Linked DNA regions of Pelodiscus sinensis. The protein of the gene in region 1 interacts with the protein of each later gene in a pairwise test. Links are inferred from orthologs where the notes say so. Each region holds a gene or a part of one and is shown on either strand. Other genes may lie near its edges.

The links.
Region 2: the proteins of ATOSB (region 1) and FHL5 interact in binary tests that used the Homo sapiens proteins (3 or more experiments, as listed by UniProt). The two-hybrid records come from large-scale screens. The link is inferred for Pelodiscus sinensis from reciprocal best matches to the Homo sapiens genes ATOSB and FHL5.

The regions. Positions count from the first base shown.
Region 1 is NC_134716.1:128,860,596-128,870,736, forward strand, and holds the start of ATOSB (atos homolog protein B), read right to left. Parts: upstream 6,174-10,141; 5' UTR 6,065-6,173; intron 4,904-6,064; 5' UTR 4,871-4,903; intron 1-4,870. UniProt on the Homo sapiens protein: Transcription regulator that may syncronize transcriptional and translational programs.
Region 2 is NC_134713.1:68,352,922-68,363,062, forward strand, and holds the start of FHL5 (four and a half LIM domains protein 5), read left to right. Parts: upstream 1-4,841; 5' UTR 4,842-5,324; coding exon 5,325-5,410; intron 5,411-8,625; coding exon 8,626-8,665; intron 8,666-10,038; exon of another isoform or gene 10,039-10,141. UniProt on the Homo sapiens protein: May be involved in the regulation of spermatogenesis. Stimulates CREM transcriptional activity in a phosphorylation-independent manner.

The sequences.
Region 1 (10,141 bases):
TCCTCAGACACCCTTCCCGCACAGTGGACGGCGGAAGATGGATTTGGAGTCAAGCACGTTGGAGGGGAACACACCCATCTGACCCAACGTCCGAGGCTCAGGACACACCCGCCAGCTTGGAAAGGAGAAGGAGCAATCCGGCCTGGTGGCCAGGCAATAAAGGCCGGGCAGAGAGAAGACTAGGAGTGAGGCAGAAGTGGGAACACAAGGGAAAGGAAGGAAACAAGCAGCAAGCCCTGGGCTCTGATCTAGTGCCCCAAGGGCCCCGTGAGAGCAGGCAGAACACAGGGGTTTCTTATGGAACAAGGAGAGGGCCTGGTTGGCCTGACAGCCTGGAGATGGGGGAAGGCTGGGGCAAAGCACATGGCCGCTCCAGGCGCTCACACTGCACAGGACACAGAGGCTGAAGAGCAGAGACACCTCAGGGCTCCCGTTTCCCCGGAGAGGAGGGCGGGGGAAGGAAATGGCCGATTTGAATTGTAAGTAGGACTCCACCCCATAAATAGCAGGTTCCCACTCCATTGTCCTCGGAAAGCTCCTTCCCCTCCTCTGGATGGGGCAAGGGCCCTTTGGCGGCGTGATCTCTGCCTCCCACCAGCTGGTACCAAGTGGCTCCCTTTCCCCGCAAGCCTTGTGCCAGCAGAAGTCACTCGGTACCAGCCAAGCAGCAGATCTTGCAGGGAGACCACTTGAGAGACCCCAGGAGACAGGCGACAGCTGGGGAAGGAGGCAGCTGAACAGTGCTCCTGGAGGGCCCCCACCCAGCACACCGGGTCTCCCCTAAGCTCCAAGCTCAAGTCTGGGGGACGGAGCCTCTGTCCCTCCTTGGCCAAAAAGCTGAGGTCACAGGACTGGGGAAAGCATGGGGGGGATCCGATCCACACTGAACACCCACCCAAGCCATTCCCAGTGAAGCATGAGAACTGACCCCCAAGAGAGCAAGGGCTGGGATGCCCCACATGGGAGGTGAAGGAGCCTCAAACTCGTCTCCCTGCCTTGTCAGCAGCAAGGTTAGGGCCCCACAAGTCCCCGCTGCTACCACCACTCCTTCCCAACTGGCCACAAGAGAGGCAGAGCAGTCACCGTGTCCAGACAGTTCCTCTTCCCAAGCCGCCGGCAGAGCTGAGCACGAGTGCTGGGGGTAGGAGGGCTGCTCCGAGCGGTTTCCGTCACACGCAGGGTTTGCCGTGTGGTTCAGCAGCTCAGCACCCCCACCCCTGGAGCTGAGGGAGTCCTAGCTCACACAGCAGAGCCCAGAGCACATTGCGGACCACCAGCTGGGAAAGCCAGAGCGTCAATGCTGCTCTTCTTCCGCCTTTCCTGAGGGAAGTGCTCCAGTGACAGAGAAAAAGCCAACCCTCCCCAGAGGGGAAGGGAAACACGCTGAGTCACAGACGCTACTGAACTGCAGCGATGACGCTGCCCTGCACGTTCAAGGCACCTGGAGCCAAGGGACTCCAAAGTACAGGCTCTGGAGAGCAGCTAAGTCCCAGGCTGGGACTCCAAGGAGGTTTTCCCAACAGCCAGACCCAGACAGACAGCTCCCCCTTTCCTGCGCTCAGCCTAGCTTCCCAAACCTGTGTGCCGCACTCGGAGCCAGGGGAGTCCAGGCAGGAGAACTCACGGGATCCTAGCAAGAGCCCAGCAAGGAGCCAGCCAGGGAGCAGGAGGCAGCTCCTATAGCTGAGACCTTGGGGTGACTGGATGATGCCGACCATGGGCTACTGCCACAATATACAAGCTGTGGCTGTCACTTACGGCAAGGGGAGCGGCAGGGTCCAAGAGACTACAGATCCCAGCATGCACTGGGGGTAGACTAGACTGTTCAGAGGTTAAAGGGGAGCTCTGCAGGCTGGGACATGCAGTCTCCAGAGCTCTGTGGCTGTCATACAAGACAGGGGTTAGCACAGGGGTGAGCAAAAGGGCCTCCACAGGTTGGATCCAGCCAGCCACGCCAGTGGATCCAGCCCGCGGAGGCCCTGCCGCGCCCCCGCCCCCAGCCAATTAGGGCCTGACAGTGGGGGAGCGTGCAGAGCCTCCTCCTGCCCTGCCAGGAGCATGGGGCGCTTTGAAACACTGCACGCTGCTCACAGGGCTGAGGGGGAAGGGGGGCGAAGAGTGGAGGAGGTTTTGCCCACTCCCCTGCCAATCAAGGCCTGGGGGCGGGGGACCTGCTTGAAGCTTCCTTTGCCCCACCCTCTGATTGGCCTGAGGGTGGGGGAGCGTGCCAAGCCTCTTCCAGGGCATAGGCGCCTAGTGGGAAGGGGGGCAGAAGGGTTCCCCCACCCCCAGATCAATCATGGTCTGGGGATGGTATAGCCCCACCCCTCCTGTTTAGGCCCGCCCCCTTCCCATCTAGGCCCTGCCCCTTCCAGGGTGGCCAGGGGCTACTTTAAACATTTTTGAAGTGGCCCCGGGCCAAAAATTATTGCCTACCCCCAGGTTAGAATCACCCCTGCTTTATGGCTATTCCATGGATTGAAGCTCAACAGGGAAATAATGTTTAATGAGCAACACACAGAATCATAAAATACTGTAACCGGAGGAAGCCCAGTCTCCTGTCCTCACGGGCAGGACCAAGCACCATCTACATCATCCCTGTCAGGTGTCTCGAACCTGCTCTTCAATAGCTCCAGAGATGGAGATTCCACAACCTCCCTAGACAACTGACTCCAGTGCTTAACCCCCCTGACTGGCAGGAAGTTTTTCCTAATGCCCAACCTAAACCTCCCTGGCTGCAGTTTGAGCCCCTTGCTTCTTGTCCTGTCCTCAGAGGCCAAGAAGAACAATTTTTCTTCCCTCCTCTTTATAACACCCTTTCAGCAGTGTTCATGAACCTATCTTGTCCACTCTCAGTCTTCTCTTTTCCAGCCTAAACAAGCCCAGTTCTTTCAGCCTTCCCTCATAGCTCATGTTTCCTAGACCTTTACAGCATTTTTGTTGCTCTTCTCTGGCGCTTCTCCAACTTCTCCACATCTTTCTTGAAATGTGGTGCCCAGAACTGGATACAATACTCCAACTGAGGCCTAATCATGCAGAGTAGAGGGGAAAAATGACTGCTCGTGTCTTGCTCACAACTCCTGTTAAACCCAGAATCATATTTGCTATTTTTGCAACAGCGTCACACGCTTGACTCATATTTAGCTTGTGGTTCACTATGATCCCTAGATTCCTTTCTGCAGTGCTCCTTCCTAAACAAGGAATGGTCCTGTGATACATTAGAGACAAACTCAAATATATAGAATTGTGAGTTTTCAAGGGCAAAACTCACTTCATCTGATGATCCGGAGTGGCAGTAACAAACCATCCATCCCACTAGAGACATGGCACAAAGAACAGAACTCCATACCTACAGTTCCTGAAACACAGGCCTCGTGGGGAAAATGCAAGTCTTGAATAGTGGGCAACAGCTATTGTAAAATGTTTATTAACTGTTTTTTTAAAAGGCATTTAGGTGCCGAAAGGTCTTTTCAACCATACTCCTGGTGGTAACTTCCACTGATTTCTATAGGCAGTAGGTGCTAAGCAGGACTTCCAGAAGTGCCTGCCTTCCCCATTAGACACCTAAAGAGCTGTAAAGAATCTGGCCTACAGAACCTATGATTCGAAGTCACTGGGGCTGGGGAGGGGCAGGCATGCTATCAGGCACTCCACACGCACGCACACAGTAATTTACAAGGGTAAAAGTGCTGGCTTAATAGTCTAGGACTACATCCCCCTGTCTGCAGAGGGATATAAATGAAGCACTTCAAAAGTGCAAATGAAGCCGGGATTTAAATATCCCATGCTTCATTTGCATAATTACGTAATGGCGCTCTTTCAAAAAGCGCTCTTTTGAAATTGAGGTTTACAGGATCTTTTGAAAAAGCGCCCCATTTTTTAAAGAACCGCGTCTAGTCTGTAGCTTCACTTTCAAAATGGCACTTTTTCGAAAGAGCGCCATTACGTGATTATGCAAATGAAGCACAGGATATTTAAATCCCTGCTTCATTTCACTTTTGAAGCGCTTCACTTACATCCCTCTGCCAACAGCAGGATGTAGTCTAGACATAGCCTTGGAGACTGAAAGAGGAGACTCATCTACAAGGCACAGCCCAGACAGAAAAGCAGCAAGCTTCCCCACCCCCACAGTGTCCCCCCATTAAGACCTCAGCCCTCTGCCAAGACTTTCAGAAGGGACAGATTTGTTTGTCTTGGATCCAAACAGTCCTCAGAAGGTAGGATGATCACATATCCCAGTTTTATCTGGACTGTCTTGATTACTGAAATCTTTGTCTTATATAAGACTCTATTACTTCCCCACCCCAATTTTTCACACTTCGTCATCTTATCAGACAGTGGTGAGGAGTCCTGTGGCACCTTATAGACTAAATGAAGTGTTGGAGACATGCATCTGACAAAGTGGGTCTTTGCCCATGAAAGCTTAGGCTCCAACACTTCTATTATTAATGGAGACTGCCTATCTCCTAGAACTGGAAGGGACCTTGAATGATCATTGAGTCCAGTCCCCTGCCTTCTCAGCAGGACCAAGTACCACCCCTGACAAATTTTGCCCCAAATGGCCTCCTCAAGGATTGAACTCACAACCCTGGGTTTAGCAGGCCAATGCTCAAACCACTGAGCTATAAGGTGCCACGGGACTCCTTGCCGCTTTTGCAGATTCAGACTAACACGGCGACCCCTCTGATCCCTATCAGACAGTGACAGTCTTGACTCACGACCAAACTTGCGCCTGAGTGCAGGATCTCGGGGGAAAGGCCCATTCCCAATACCAGTGTGGAAGATCGCCTGCGCCGCCCGGGGGGGACAGGCCCCAGTGAGCTCGGCCTGGAAAGGGCAGGGCTCGTGGCAAGTCCAACCCAGATCTTACCTGCAGCCTCTGCTCACGGGACGACACAGGGACCTGCCGAAGGGAGGGAGACAAGAGTGGGCTGGATGGGCGCCTCAAGCCGCCTCCCCCCCCCCCCCGGAAATGGGTCGCGCCCCAGGGAGCCAGGATCCTGCACCCCCCGCCGGCAGCTTGCAGGGACCCCTCGCCCTCAGCCCACGTGGGGCCCCCCCAGAGCACCCCTCCTTCCCCCGCCCCCCTCCCGTGGGGCCCCCCCCAGAGCGCCCCTCCTTCCCCCGCCCCCCTCCCGTGGGGCCCCCCCCAGAGCGCCCCTCCTTCCCCCGCCCCCCTCCCGTGGGGCCCCCCCAGAGCACCCCTCCTTCCCCCACCCCCCTCCCGTGGGGCCCCCCCCAGAGCACCCCTCCTTCCCCCGCCTCCTCCCGTGGGGCCCCCCCCAGAGCACCCCTCCTTCCCCCGCCTCCTCCCGTGGGGCCCCCCCCAGAGCACCCCTCCTTCCCCCGCCTCCTCCCGTGGGGCCCCCCCAGAGCACCCCTCCTTCCCCCGCCCCCCTCCCGTGGGGCCCCCCCAGAGCACCCCTCCTTCCCCCGCCCCCTCCCGTGGGGCCCCCCAGAGCGCCCCTCCTTCCCCCGCCCCCCTCCCGTGGGGCCCCCCCCAGAGCGTCCCTCCTTCCCCCGCCCCCTCCCGTGGGGCCCCCCAGAGCGCCCCTCCTTCCCCCGCCCCCCTCCCGTGGGGCCCCCCAGAGCGCCCCTCCTTCCCCCGCCTCCTCCCGTGGGGCCCCCCAGAGCACCCCTCCTTCCCCCGCCCCCTCCCGTGGGGCCCCCCCCAGAGCGCCCCTCCTTCCCCCGCCTCCTCCCGTGGGGCCCCCCAGAGCGCCCCTCCTTTCCCCGCCCCCTCCCGTGGGGCCCCCCAGAGCGCCCCTCCTTCCCCCGCCTCCTCCCGTGGGGCCCCCCAGAGCACCCCTCCTTCCCCCGCCCCCTCCCGTGGGGCCCCCCAGAGCGCCCCTCCTTCCCCCGCCTCCTCCCGTGGGGCCCCCCAGAGCACCCCTCCTTTCCCCGCCCCCCTCCCGTGGGGCCCCCCAGAGCGTCCCTCCTTCCCCCGCCCCCTCCCGTGGGGCCCCCCCAGAGCGCCCCTCCTTCCCCCGCCCCCCTCCCGTGGGGCCCCCCAGAGCACCCCTCCTTCCCCCGCGGCTCCCCCGGCCCGGCTCCCGCCACCCACCGACTCCCAGCGCCGCCGAGAGCCTCCCGCAGCTGCTTCCGGGTCTAGCCTGAGACCCCGCCTCTGGGCCCCGCCCCCTCGCGCTGATTGGCGGTTGTGACGCGGCCAGGGCTGGGCCCGGAGACTTACCGGCGTCACAGCCAATAGCAAGGCGGGGGGCCGTGACGTGCGCCCCTAAGCCCCGCCCGCCGCCCGCCTCCTCCACGTGCGGTTCTGTGATGACAGCGGGGAAGGGGCGGGCCTTGGGGAGAGGCGGCTTCTCATTGGCGGGGGCCTAAGGGGCGGGTCCGCGAGCCAAGGAGTCGGGAGCGAGCCCCAACTTCGCCGTGTGACCCTTCACCCCTGACCTCTGCCCCGGCTGACCCTCCCCCGCCCCTCCCCCGGGCCGGCCGCGTTCGCTCCCGCCCCTGACACCCCCCCGCTCGGACTCACCCCCCCCGGCGAGGTTCACCCCCCCAGGGCTCTCTGCCCCCCATGGTGGGGTGACCCCCCCAGAGCTCTCTGCCCCCCCATGGTGGGGTGACCCCCCCAGGGCTCTCTGCCCCCCCATGGTGGGATGTACCCCCCCCAGGGCTCTCTGCCCCCCATGGTGGGGTGACCCCCCCAGAGCTCTCTGCCCCCCCATGGTGGGGTGACCCCCCCAGGGCTCTCTGCCCCCCCATGGTGGGATGTACCCCCCCCAGGGCTCTCTGCCCCCCATGGTGGGGTGACCCCCCCAGAGCTCTCTGCCCCCCATGGTGGGGTGACCCCCCCAGAGCTCTCTGCCCCCCCCATGGTGGGGTGACCCCCCCAGAGCTCTCTGCCCCCCCCATGGTGGGGTGACCCCCCCAGAGCTCTCTGCCCCCCATGGTGGGGTGAACCCCCCCAGAGCTCTCTGCCCCCCATGGTGGGGTGAACCCCCCCAGAGCCCTCTGCCCCCCCATGGTGGGGTGACTCCCCCAGAGCTCTCTGCCCCCCATGGTGGGGTGAACCCCCCCAGAGCCCTCTGCCCCCCCATGGTGGGATGTACCCCCCCAGAGCTCTCTGCCCCCCCCATGGTGGGATGTACCCCCCCAGAGCTCTCTGCCCCCCCATGGTGGGGTGACCCCCCCAGAGCTCTCTGCCCCCCATGGTGGGGTGAACCCCCCCAGGGCTCTCTGCCCCCCCATGGTGGGGTGAACCCCCCCAGAGCTCTCTGCCCCCCCCATGGTGGGGTGACCCCCCCAGGGCTCTCTGCCCCCCCCATGGTGGGATGACCCCCCCAGGGCTCTCTGCCCCCCATGGTGGGATGTACCCCCCCAGGGCTCTCTGCCCCCCCCATGGTGGGGTGACCCCCCCAGGGCTCTCTGCCCCCCATGGTGGGATGTACCCCCCCAGGGCTCTCTGCCCCCCCCATGGTGGGGTGAACCCCCCCAGAGCTCTCTGCCCCCCATGGTGGGGTGACTCCCCCAGAGCTCTCTGCCCCCCCCATGGTGGGGTGACCCCCCCAGAGCTCTCTGCCCCCCATGGTGGGGTGAACCCCCCAGAGCCCTCTGCCCCCCCATGGTGGGGTGACTCCCCCAGAGCTCTCTGCCCCCCATGGTGGGGTGAACCCCCCCAGAGCCCTCTGCCCCCCCATGGTGGGATGTACCCCCCCAGAGCTCTCTGCCCCCCCATGGTGGGGTGACCCCCCCAGAGCTCTCTGCCCCCCCCCATGGTGGGATGTACCCCCCCAGAGCTCTCTGCCCCCCCATGGTGGGGTGACCCCCCCAGAGCTCTCTGCCCCCCCATGGTGGGGTGAACCCCCGCCCCCCAGGGCTCTCTGCCCCCCCATGGTGGGGTGACCCCCCCGGGCTCTCTGCCCCCCCCCATGGTGGGGTGACCCCCCCCAGAGCTCTCTGCCCCCCCATGGTGGGGTGACCCCCCCAGGGCTCTCTGCCCCCCCATGGTGGGATGTACCCCCCCAGAGCTCTCTGCCCCCCCATGGTGGGGTGACCCCCCCAGAGCTCTCTGCCCCCCATGGTGGGGTGACCCCCCCCCAGAGCTCTCTGCCCCCCATGGTGGGGTGAACCCCCCCAGAGCCCTCTGCCCCCCCATGGTGGGGTGACTCCCCCAGGGCTCTCTGCCCCCCATGGTGGGGTGAACCCCCCCAGAGCCCTCTGCCCCCCCATGGTGGGGTGACCCCCCCAGGGCTCTCTGCCCCCCATGGTGGGGTGAACCCCCCCAGAGCTCTCTGCCCCCCCATGGTGGGGTGACCCCCCCCCCAGGGCTCTCTGCCCCCCCATGGTGGGGTGACCCCCCCCAGAGCTCTCTGCCCCCCCATGGTGGGGTGACCCCCCCAGAGCTCTCTGTCCCCCATGGTGGGGTGACCCCCCCCCCCAGAGCTCTCTGCCCCCCATGGTGGGGTGAACCCCCCCAGAGCCCTCTGCCCCCCCCATGGTGGGGTGACTCCCCCAGAGCTCTCTGCCCCCCATGGTGGGGTGAACCTCCCCAGAGCCCTCTGCCCCCCCATGGTGGGGTGACCCCCCCCAGGGCTCTCTGCCCCCCATGGTGGGGTGAACCCCCCCAGAGCTCTCTGCCCCCCCATGGTGGGGTGACCCCCCCAGGGCTCTCTGCCCCCCCATGGTGGGGTGACCCCCCCAGAGCTCTCTGCCCCCCCATGGTGGGGTGACCCCCCCAGGGCTCTCTGCCCCCCATGGTGGGATGTACCCCCCCAGAGCTCTCTGCCCCCCCATGGTGGGGTGACCCCCCCAGAGCTCTCTGCCCCCCCCATGGTGGGATGTACCCCCCCAGAGCTCTCTGCCCCCCATGGTGGGGTGAACCCCCCCAGAGCTCTCTGCCCCCCCATGGTGGGGTGACCCCCCCCAGAGCTCTCTGCCCCCCCATGGTGGGGTGAACCCCCGCCCCCCAGGGCTCTCTGCCTCCCCATGGTGGAGTGAACCCCCCCAGAGCTCTGTGCCCCCCCCCCATGGTGGGGTGAACCCCCGCCCCCCAGGGCTCTCTGCCCCCCATGGTGGGGTGACCCCCCCCAGAGCTCTCTGCCCCCCATGGTGGGGTGAACCCCCCCAGAGCCCTCTGCCCCCCCATGGTGGGGTGACTCCCCCAGAGCTCTCTGCCCCCCATGGTGGGGTGAACCCCCCCAGAGCCCTCTGCCCCCCCATGGTGGGGTGACCCCCCCAGGGCTCTCTGCCCCCCATGGTGGGGTGAACCCCCCCAGAGCTCTCTGCCCCCCCATGGTGGGGTGACCCCCCCAGGGCTCTCTGCCCCCCCATGGTGGGGTGACCCCCCCAGGGCTCTCTGCCCCCCATGGTGGGATGTACCCCCCCCAGAGCTCTCTGCCCCCCCATGGTGGGGTGACCCCCCCAGAGCTCTCTGCCCCCCCATGGTGGGGTGAACCCCCCCAGAGCTCTCTGCCCCCCCATGGTGGGGTGAACCCCCGCCCCCCAGGGCTCTCTGCCTCCCCATGGTGGAGTGAACCCCCCCAGAGCTCTCTGCCCCCCCCATGGTGGGGTGAACCCCCGCCCCCCAGGGCTCTCTGCCCCCCCATGGTGGGGTGAACCCCCCAGAGCTCTCTGCCCCCCCATGGTGGAGTGAACCCCCCCAGAGCTCTCTGCCTCCCCATGATGGGGTTCACCCCCCAGGGCTCTCTGCCCCCCCCATGGTGGGGTTCACCCCCCTCCCCCAGGGCTCTCTGCCCCCCATGGTGGGGTTCACCCCATCCTCCCAGGGCTCCCCCTCATCATTTCAGGGTTCACCCAGCCCATCACCAGAGAGCTGTCTACCCCTCGCAATAGATACTGGTTGACTGGCAGCTCCCTCCTGGCGAGGTTCAGCAGAGGGTCATTGGGGTGGTACGGTCCTGCCAGGTGTGTCTGCCAGGCTCTGAGGGAGTGGGGAGGAGGGCTCGCGGGAAGGCAGCAGCTGCACAGCTAAGGACAATTACTGGGCAGAAATATGCAGCAGGAAGCGCTTTCCTGGAGATGTGCTCTGCTTCAGGGCCTGGTCCAGACACCAGAGGAGAAACGGCTAACAAGGTCAGTGAGCTTGGAATCGGCCCTCGAAAACTAGCCTCACAACTGAGCCGCACGCTTCCTAGTGCTCTGGACGTAGACGGGGATT
Region 2 (10,141 bases), on another chromosome or scaffold:
AAAGCTTTTAACCAGAGAGGTAATAGTGATTAAGGATGGATTTCTTTTTTCAACAAACTCCAGTGAATTCTGCGCACACTATTATTTTTCATTTCATTTTCTAATGATTTGCAATAAAACTGTTAAGGTATGCACGTGATCTGTATTGGGTTTATAGGGATTTTTTTGAGGAGGAGAAATGGGGAATGACTTCTGTAGTTAATGTACAAGTTAGATTGTTTAGGAAACATTTGCTACCACACAGTTTCAGATGTGACTCCTAGAGAAGTTTCTTAAGGGGTGTATCCATATCCGTATCCACTGATATGGATACAAGGGGTATATCAATATCCATTACAAATACTGTTTTTATTCGAGGGAGTTTGGTCCAGAACTTTGTTCACTTTACCATATGTTTTTTTAAAAATATTCTGAAAATAGTAACCATTTTGAGTATCTGCTATAGTGTTTTTTTCTGATGTTAACCTATTCCAAGTGGTATTTGATATTATTTAGCTATATTTTTGTCATGCCCATTGTAATTTGTATCCTCATTTGTACATGGGGTATATTGTGTGTCTTAGAAAAAATATATGTAAAGAATACCAACTAAAATCTTGCCAATATTAGTTAAGTATATAATTTGTGTATGTCAGTTGTATATTTTTGAATTTGTTTTGAAGTTAGTGCAGTTTTAATTTAGCAAATCAGTTTCAACTTATCACTGGAATATGCAGTGATTATACTTGTTACCTAGCTGCTTGCATAAAATCAGGTCTTAATAGTAAGGCAATAGACATTGATATCCAGTGAAAATAATAGTACAGTAGTTCTAAGTATTCTTTCATTCTTGCCCAAACTCTATTAGCACTGAACAAAACCTTCTGTAAGAATGCTGTTAAGTTGCAGTGGTTGTTAAATTCCTGCAAGATGTGTGCAGAATTGTGCATTGGGTAGAAATCAACCAAAAATGTCCCCAAAACTTTGATTGCAACAAAAGAAAGGTGACTTGAGACTTTTGTGTTCCTGCATTTAGGCTTATTTTAGAATGCAGTTTAAAAAAACAGAATCGCTTATAAAAAATTACTAGATTACTGTACTAAAGTCAATAATATCTCTACAAAATAGCATTGGTTCTGTCCAAACTGTAATACAAAGGAGCAACTCCATCTCTGCCCTTTGGATTTAGAGGCAGAGACAGTTTTGTCCATCATCCTAGTTGGAAGCCTCCATATAAGCCTGTCACCTGGAAATAGCAAAAAAGAAAATATTCTGACTGCTTTCACTTTGTTTACAAAAATGGTTTGCATAAAATAAGTATATTTATTCTCTTGTTATTGAATGAAAATAGTTATAATTTTCCTATATTAAATGTACACACTTTTATATGGCATTGATTTTGTAAATAATACTCTACAATTTGATATTCTTTATGTAAATATAATTATTTTAATAAAATTAATGATTTAAGTGGTTAAAATAGTTTCTGCTGTTGACTTAACCATAGATATGTCGATTGGACTTGCACTTGTTGCTTGCAAACTACAGTTGTTAATGTGCTCCATTTAATTTGTTATACTTGCCAATTTTGTGTCCTCTTTTTTGCTTAAAACTGTTGTAATACATAATAATGAATTAATACAAGTCTTCTATGTAATGCAACAGATTTTTGTTACAAATATAGGCCACATGATGAGAATAATAAAAAGAACATTCTTTAAAATGGATAGGAAAGAAGTACTAATGTTTCGGTAGTGGTCTCTTCATAGAATTTTCAGTGGTTAATTATGAGAAACCTTCATTGGTGTTTCCATGCCAGAAAAAATAAGTATTGAATATCTGTCTATCAAGTGTAGAGGTTAACATTCCTAGATAAAGGTGTCTTTAATTACAAGAGAGAGGAATAAATAAAATATTTTCCCCCAAACACTGTGCTAATGATTTTTTTCCTGTATATGATTCACGTAGCGACTGGAAAAAAAAGGAAAGGATTCATTACTATTCTTAGGATTCTTATTTTAATTATCAGCTGTTTAGTTGACAAAGCTGCCTATTTCTTTTTCAGATAAATTTACAGTGTAGCTTAATTTAAATTACATTTTTAAAAAGAGCAATATCATGGACAAATTGCCCCCTTGTTCCACTCACTAAAAATACATGCTTCATAAAATTTCTTGTATGAAGTCTCTTCCAAAGACACTTGAAAAACGGGGGAGAGGAGTAATTAATCTGAGAAACTCTTGAGATTAAACTTCAAGAAGTGATGACATTTAAAAACTGTTGTAATTGTACTCAAAATTAAATGACTTGCATGAGAGCAGTCAAAGATTGCTGATGTAATCTAACAGAGCTTGTCCTGAGTTTCTGATATTTAGAACTTCTGCTAAAGCTTTCTGTATACCTTTCGATTAATGATTTAAATGGCTTCATGTTTTTTACCTTAAGACTTTTGTAGCCTTTTTGAGAGACATTTACTACTGTGATGGAGAGCATGGTTATAATTGGAACATAAAAGTAATGATCATCTGAAGCTTCTGGATTATTGAAATGCTTTATTGTGGGATCAGAATGCTTTCTGATATTTTAAATAGCTACTCATTTTTTAAAGTATAAGAATACATTAAAATAGGTTGAAGATCAATGTAGTAGTGAAATGGATTTTAAATTATTTTTCTGAATTGTCAGAGATAGAAACCTTGCTTAGAAAGATACATTTGAGTGAATCTTAAACAAAAATAAAGGGGAAAGAGCTCTTTGAGAGGCTCATGTTAATGGCAAATACCATGCTAATATCAGTGAGGGTAGAAGTGGAAGTTTAGGTCAAATCAGGGTGGTTTTGTTACCAGGTTGGTCAAATAGTTTATTAAGAAGGGCTATGTGTTATAGCACCTCGTTTGGGTTTAGAGAAAAGGGCACTTAGTTTTCACATTATCCACTAATTAATTTCACTTCATGCTCCTTATTTGTGAAGGTTTTCACTTTGCTTTAAATGCTTAAAAAGACAACTCTCTAGTAAGTTATACAGGTATAGTCTCCATTCTGCAAGTTTCTTCTGAGAAGAAAAAAAACATGAATTGAAGTTTGGAAAATGCGATGTTCAATGGAAAATGAACATATATTTCATACTCTTTCCTGAAAAGAACATACTATTTGTGTAATTTGGTGTGCTTATCACGAAGAAGGCTAGTTCATGTGGTATGGGCTTTAACCAGGCCACTACTTTGAGTCAAGTTACATCCAAGCATCCTGTCAGTAGACAGCCTTGTACAGTCACTCACGGCCCAGGGTCCTATTGAAGATCTACCACCTAGAAACTTTATTTCCTGGTATTTGCAAATTTTACCAAAATCTTTCAATGTAAGATTTATCGAAAGAGAGAAACAGAATTCTATTTCTTGGCAATGACATAATAATAAACAGCTCTTCTGTACACTTGACATGCAAGGCTTGATTAAGCCCAGAGATAAATTGGTTCATCATAGTGTAATCTAGGGAATATAATGGTGGAAAGCATGGTCTAGGGTCTGCAATGTCTCAAGCCACAACCAACAATCCTGTTTTAAGCTGCTTAATTTCAGCTGCTTAATTTTAACTGGATATAAAAAATTCACTGAAGGCTGGTACAACAGTGCAGTGAATGAACTGTTCTGTAGTGGGAGTGGTGGATAGTGTAACCTTAGCCCAAACACTGGTGTGGTTACCTCTGCTCCAAGTCTAATGCGGCCAGCCCTGAGATGAGCATTAAGAGAGGTCCAGAGAAAAGCCATTCACTTTCCACTGATATGAATCTAATCACCAGAAAACTGCATTGAAGGCATCAACCATCCCACTGTATAAATAACTAGCAGGAAGCTGTGATGTAATATTAAATCCCATAGCCCTTTCCTAAATTGGAAGGGTGTGGTATTTTAATGTCTCCCTTCCACCCCTACCCACAAAACCTATGCAGAATACAGGCAGTCCCCGGGTTACGTACAAGATAGGGACTGTAGGTTTGTTCTTAAGTAGAATCTGTATGTAAGTCGGAACTGGCGTCCAGATTCAGACACTGCTGAAACTGACCGCCAGTTCTGACTTGCATACAGAATCAACTTAAGAACCCCAGGCGTCCCCAAGTCAGCTGCTGCTGAAACTGATCAGCAGCTGATTCCAGGAAGCCCGGGGCAGAGCAACTCTGCCTGGGGCTTCCTGTAGTCAGCGCTGGTCAGTTTCAGCAGAAGCTGACTTGGGGACGCCTGGGGCAGATCAGCTGGGGTGCTGCCGGGTTGGTCCAGTAGTGCCCAGAGCGGGCGCTGCAGGACCAATTGGCAGCGCCCCAGCTGCTCTGCCCCAGAGTCCAAAACAAAAGCCTGGTCTGCTGGGAGGGGGGGGAAGCACACTAGCTGCGCCCCTCCCCCCCCCCCAGCAGACCAGGGACACAGGGAGCAGAGCCGCAGCGGCAGCGGCTCTCGCAAAGCCTCAGAGGCGAGGGACCCCGCCGCGGCTACGACTTCAGTCCCGGTGCCTGTGGTCTGCTGGGGACGGTCCCCAGCAGACCACAGGCTCCCGGACTGAAGCCGCAGCCGCGGGGGGGTCCCGCGCTTCTGAGGCTTTGCCAGAGTAAAGCCTCAGAGGCGCGGGGAACCGCCGCTGCTGCCGCTTCAGTCTGGGTGCCTGTGGTCTGCTGGGGATGGTCCCCAGCAGACCACAGGCACCCAGACTGAAGCGGCAGCAGCGGCGGTTCCCCGCGCCTCTGAGGCTTTGCTCTGGCAAAGCCTCAGAAGCGCGGGAACCCGCCCGGTGCCCCTGGTCTGCTGGAGACGGTCTCCAGCAGACCAGGGGCACCGGAGCAGCTTACGAACGGGGCTTTCTCGCCCCGACCTCCGGGGCGAGAAAGCCCTGTTTGTAAGTGCGGATCCGACGTAAGTCAGATCCGCGTAAGTCGGGGACTGCCTGTACCCCAAAAACTGTAAGCAGGAGTTTTAATGTTAATTTTGAGTTTTATCGAGTATCTTGAATGTTTTCAAAGAATCTGTGCACAAAAAAGCTGGAGATTAATATGTTCATTCCCTTCCCCGCCTTCCACTATAGATTTTTTTACTAAAGCGCCTCTTTCTAGGTCTTTGAAACATTGTCCTTGAAAAATGCTCTTTTAAGGATCTCCTCTGTGGTCTGTTTTTGTCTACCATCTGTAAACACAATATGACAAAGAATGATTTCAATCCAGTGACAAGGGAACCAGCTATTTGCATGTCATGAGGTCTAAGGGAAATAAACTGTCCCTCAGCCGTCTTCTACACAGCCAAAATTTGATAGGACCCTCAAATAGCTCTGGCAGAGTATTCTGTTTCTTTTGGACTTGATGAATGCTTATTTCTGTGAAAGCTAATCTAATTATTTTCCCCCTTTATTTTGCTACACAAGTCAGAAGAAGAAGCAGCTTGAACCAGTTGTGAGTATTATAGAAACTGCTTTTCCTTATTATTTCTCTTTCCGCTCTTTTAGTTGATACGTTTTAAAATATTTAGGTCAGTTGACCTGGTAATCAATTGAAAGTTTGTGAATTAAGCAAGAACTTTTTCTTTTCGGTCACTGATTAATTCTGATTTTTGTTTGTTTGTTTCTAGTAGTGTTTTAATAGAATTAGTTTATATAATTGATGGAATTTGTGACATAGACTAAAAAGAACATTGTCATTAAGACTGGCTGAGGCCATATACTTTGGTGAATCTTCTTTGGATTGCCTACAGAATTCTGTGAACATATTCAAACAAGATTGTTGCTGATTTCAATGAACTGTTTTCAATGTATTAATTTTTAAAAATTAGATAAGTAGGAATCAACCAATATGCTGTAAATTCTGTTTTCTTCTACTAGCCTACTTTCTTCCTACCTGCCACTGAGAACAAAAGCTTTCAACGAGGCATTTATGATGAGATACCTAAAGTTATTTTTGCTGCAAACAGTGGATTGTTCTTGTTGCTTATTTAATGTAAAATTAACTTGTTGGATTTCTAAGTTTACACATGATATAAATCTCAATCAACATTATTTCATTTTTTCTCCTCCACTATTATGTCGGAGTCTCAGCTTTTAAAAGATCTCTGCTACAGATTTTGTATTTACTGTACTAAGTACTATATTAAGAGGATGTGCCAGTGCTTAGTTAAAAAAAAAAGCACTACTTAAATGTCTATTTACACGGTTTGCATTAAAAAGCTTTATGGACAATGACATTGAAATTTTCTGTAACAGAATGTCAACAACATAGATTAATTGTTGTACTATCTGGTTTTATGTATGAAGTACATTCAGTCAATTTTTCTTTTACTAATGAGTCCCAAAAATCAAACTTTGATAAACACAATTTAAATTGTAATCACATCCCTGTTCTGAAATACACTATTTTGTATCTTTTTTCTTATTTTCAGCAGATTAGTTACATGCCTAAAGCTTGACATAGAACCTCTTATAGTAAGAAAATAACTTTGTGATGCTTGTCTTGTTCACATCTAACATTTATGCCCACATTTGTCTTCAGTATGTATGATTAGTTGACATTTCTTGAAGTATTTTAACAGAACAGAATGGAACAGATTTATGTATTAATGTTATCACATTGCTGACAGTCTTGCCATGTAATTTTATTGCACTGTCACAAAAGGCACTTTGATTTTAGATTGCATAATTTGCAGAAATTTAAGATGCTATACCAATCTTCTTGTAATAGTAAAAAAATAATAATGAAAAAACGAGTTGTTTGAAAAAGACTCTGATCAGTTTTGACCTATGGTGTCTCAAGGTTATTTGCAGGGAGAAAAGTTTAAGGATTTTATTTATTGGTTAATTGGTAGACATTGTAAGGTTCATAGTTAGTTGTCCTTTTAATCACAGTTGTTCTTTTGCTAATAAAGCCAGTGTTTTCAATTTTTTGTATTTTACTTTTATGGTTGAATTTTACTTCTCATAAAAGTTGAAGTCTAATAGCATTGACTAATTGAATATAAAGAGGGGGAAAGTGCAAACTCTCCAGAAGAATTCTTCTAATAATGGAAAGCTGAAGTCCAGGGGTAAAATACTAGATCTGTTCAAATCAATGCAAAACTTTCCTTGACTTCAATATGGCCAGATTTCACCTGGTTAGGAGCCAAGAACCTTAGGAACAGTATCCTCCTTAATTTGTGTAGAAATTTCCCGACTGGTTTGATGAGAGATCAGGTTGTGTAGTGCTCCCACTGAATCAAAGCCCTTCCAGTCTAGCGATCTGTGAAGCTCCAAATGCTGTGTTCATAGACAGTGGAATGATGCATTGCAACATACTTTCTACTTGTCTTTCTCTAGTAGATTTTTTTGGGGGGGAGGGGAAGGGGAGAGAGGTGGGTAGGAGTAGGGACTGGAAAGCATCCAAAAATGTTTAGATGGCTTTTGCAAATCTCAGCCCACATATTTAAACTTTACCTTCTTGTAAACTCGTATAGAATTGGAGAGGGGTAACATTAATTAAAGCGTACCAGAAATTTAATAAGGCAGCATATAAGTTATTCCACAAATATAGAGAATTTAATGGATACTTATATAAACTATCCATTAGAATTCTATAGCAGGGATATAATCTTCTATGAAATAGTACAGCGTGGTCCAAAAAAGTAGTGGGTCAATTCTCCTTATTGTTTCCAGATTCCTTTTCTTTGAGCTAAAGCTTTTCTTTGACTATGGTTAATATTATTCCTTCAAAAGCTTCCTTCCATTTGCATCTTGCTCTCTCACCTTCACAAACCTCTGCCCTTGAGGTTGTGCTGATTTTTAGTTTTCCCTTGTTGGATTCTTCATCATTTCAGTGTTCCTTCTTAGTTACCATCCCAGCTAAAATTCTAGAACTGGTAATTTTAATAGGGCTTCTGAAATACATAAGTGCTGTCCAAGGGGTTATAACCCTTTACACAACTTACTAGTTACTACTGAAATGGTATTTGTAACTTTTTATTTACTCTCACAACGTGAGGGTACTTCACCATCACCGATGGTTGCATTTTTACTGTTTTAATTTGTTTTGGGTAAATCTGATTTGTTTTACATTCATCAAAGTATTAATAAGATCTCTTCGTTCCATCAGGTATGGGACCTTGCTTCTGAGGAAGCTCCCTTGGCTCAGTGCTAGCCTTCAATCTTGTTCCCTCTTCCATGACTACTTCTGTAGTGGCACAATGTGCCTTTCTTCCCCCACCCCCAATACCTATGACCTTTTTTTCTGTCAGAGAATGAAACTAAGACAAAGGACATGGCAAAGGTAGGGCCATGGCTTTGGATTTTGGAGACAGGTTCAATGCCATATTCTATCACAGACTTCCTATGTGCCTCTGGGCATGTTAGCTTTTCTGTGCCTCAGTTCCCCATCTATAAAATGGGGATAATGACTCAGGAGTGTTGTGAGGATAAATTCGTCATAAATTCTGAAATACTGAGATACCATCGTAATGGTGGTATATAATCACAATAGAGAGAGAAACATGAAGCAGTAGTTAAAAACAAACAGAACTCCTTGCTGGAACTTTGCATGCCATTCTATGACTACGAACAACTTCCAGATTTTTTTTCAGATGATTAATGTTCATTTTCCTCTTTTCCCCACCATCTATATATGGACAACCAATATTTCTAATGATCTAGGACTACGAGGCTTTCACATTTTACAACTGGATGCCATTGGGTGAGTCTCTTCACATTGCATGTAGGCGAGATTCACAGTTTGGGTTCAAAAATACTTTTGTCAAAATGGAACACACTCCAAGGCTGTGTCTAGACTGGCCAGTTTTTCTGGAAAATCAGCCGCTTTTCCAGAAAAACTTGCCAGCTGTCTACACTGGCCTCTTGAATTTACGCAAAAGCACTGACTTCCTACTGTAAGAAATCAGTGCTTTTCGCGGAAATAGTATGCTGCTCCTGTTCAGGCAAAAGTCTCTTTTGCACAAAACTTTTGCGCAAAAGGGCCAGTGTAGACAGCTGAAATTTGTTTTGCACAAAAAAGCCCCGATCGCGAAAATGGCAATTGGGGCTTTTTTGTGAAAAAGCACGTCTAGATTGGCCACGGACGCTTTTCCGCAAAAAGTGCTCTTGCGGAAAAGCATCCGTGCCAATCTAGATGCTCTTTTCTGAAAATGCTTTTAACGGAAAACTTTTCCGTTAAAAGAATTTCCGGAAAATCATGCCAGTCTAGACGTAGCCCAACAGGTTTATGGTATATTAGGCATGAATAGGAAAATTCATATGATTTCAATGCAAAATCATGCCAACACAGGCATGCTGGAAAATGAGCTCAAATTCATTGGAAAAATTCACAATCCTTTGCAAACCTTTCAGCCGGCATGGGCTATGTTTCCACTTTATTACTTAACCCAAAATCAGGCAAGTTTTCCTGAGAATTGTATAGCCTTAGTTACATCCCTAAATGCATAACTAATGTGCGTAAGTTGATGTCTAGAACTTTTTATTGTGCCTCCTTCTTTACAAATTCCTACTTCCTGATAACAATACTTTTTAAAATTACCCATCATGCAGCCTTTGCAGTTAACCATCCATCAGCATTTTAGTGACTACTGTGAACTGAAATATGGTCTTGTGTTTAAGGCCATTGGCATAATTTGGAAGGAGCATGTGGGCCATTGCTGCCTCAAACAGCAAGCCTTTGGCAGACAAAGAATTTGCAATCCACCCACATGCTATATTGCTGTCCCACTGGCCTTACTGGAGTTTCCCTAATACAGAAGTCAGACTAAGTGAAAGGACTGACCTTAGGACTTCCATTATGTCCTTGGAAAAGTCACTTAAAGTCTCTGTGTCTCACCTGTGAAATAAGGGGTTTTGTTTCCTTTTCTGAAGAAAACATGAAGATGGTCCCTATTTCACAAGGACATTATGATGGCTAATTAACAACTGCAAAGTTCACTGAGTTCCCTTAGTGGGAGACACTGTATAACTGCTAAGCACACTGCTGTTATCAGAAGCTGCTTCTCCTGTCTCCTTTTATCCCAGGGATTAAATGCAGCAGAAATTTATCATTTGTATGTTATCTTAACATGACAGATGATTCTATTGTCATCCATGAAATTGCTGCTGCTGCTGCTTGTCCTCACCATACCCACACAACTGACTGGAGTTAAAAGATTTAATCACAATTTGGAATAAG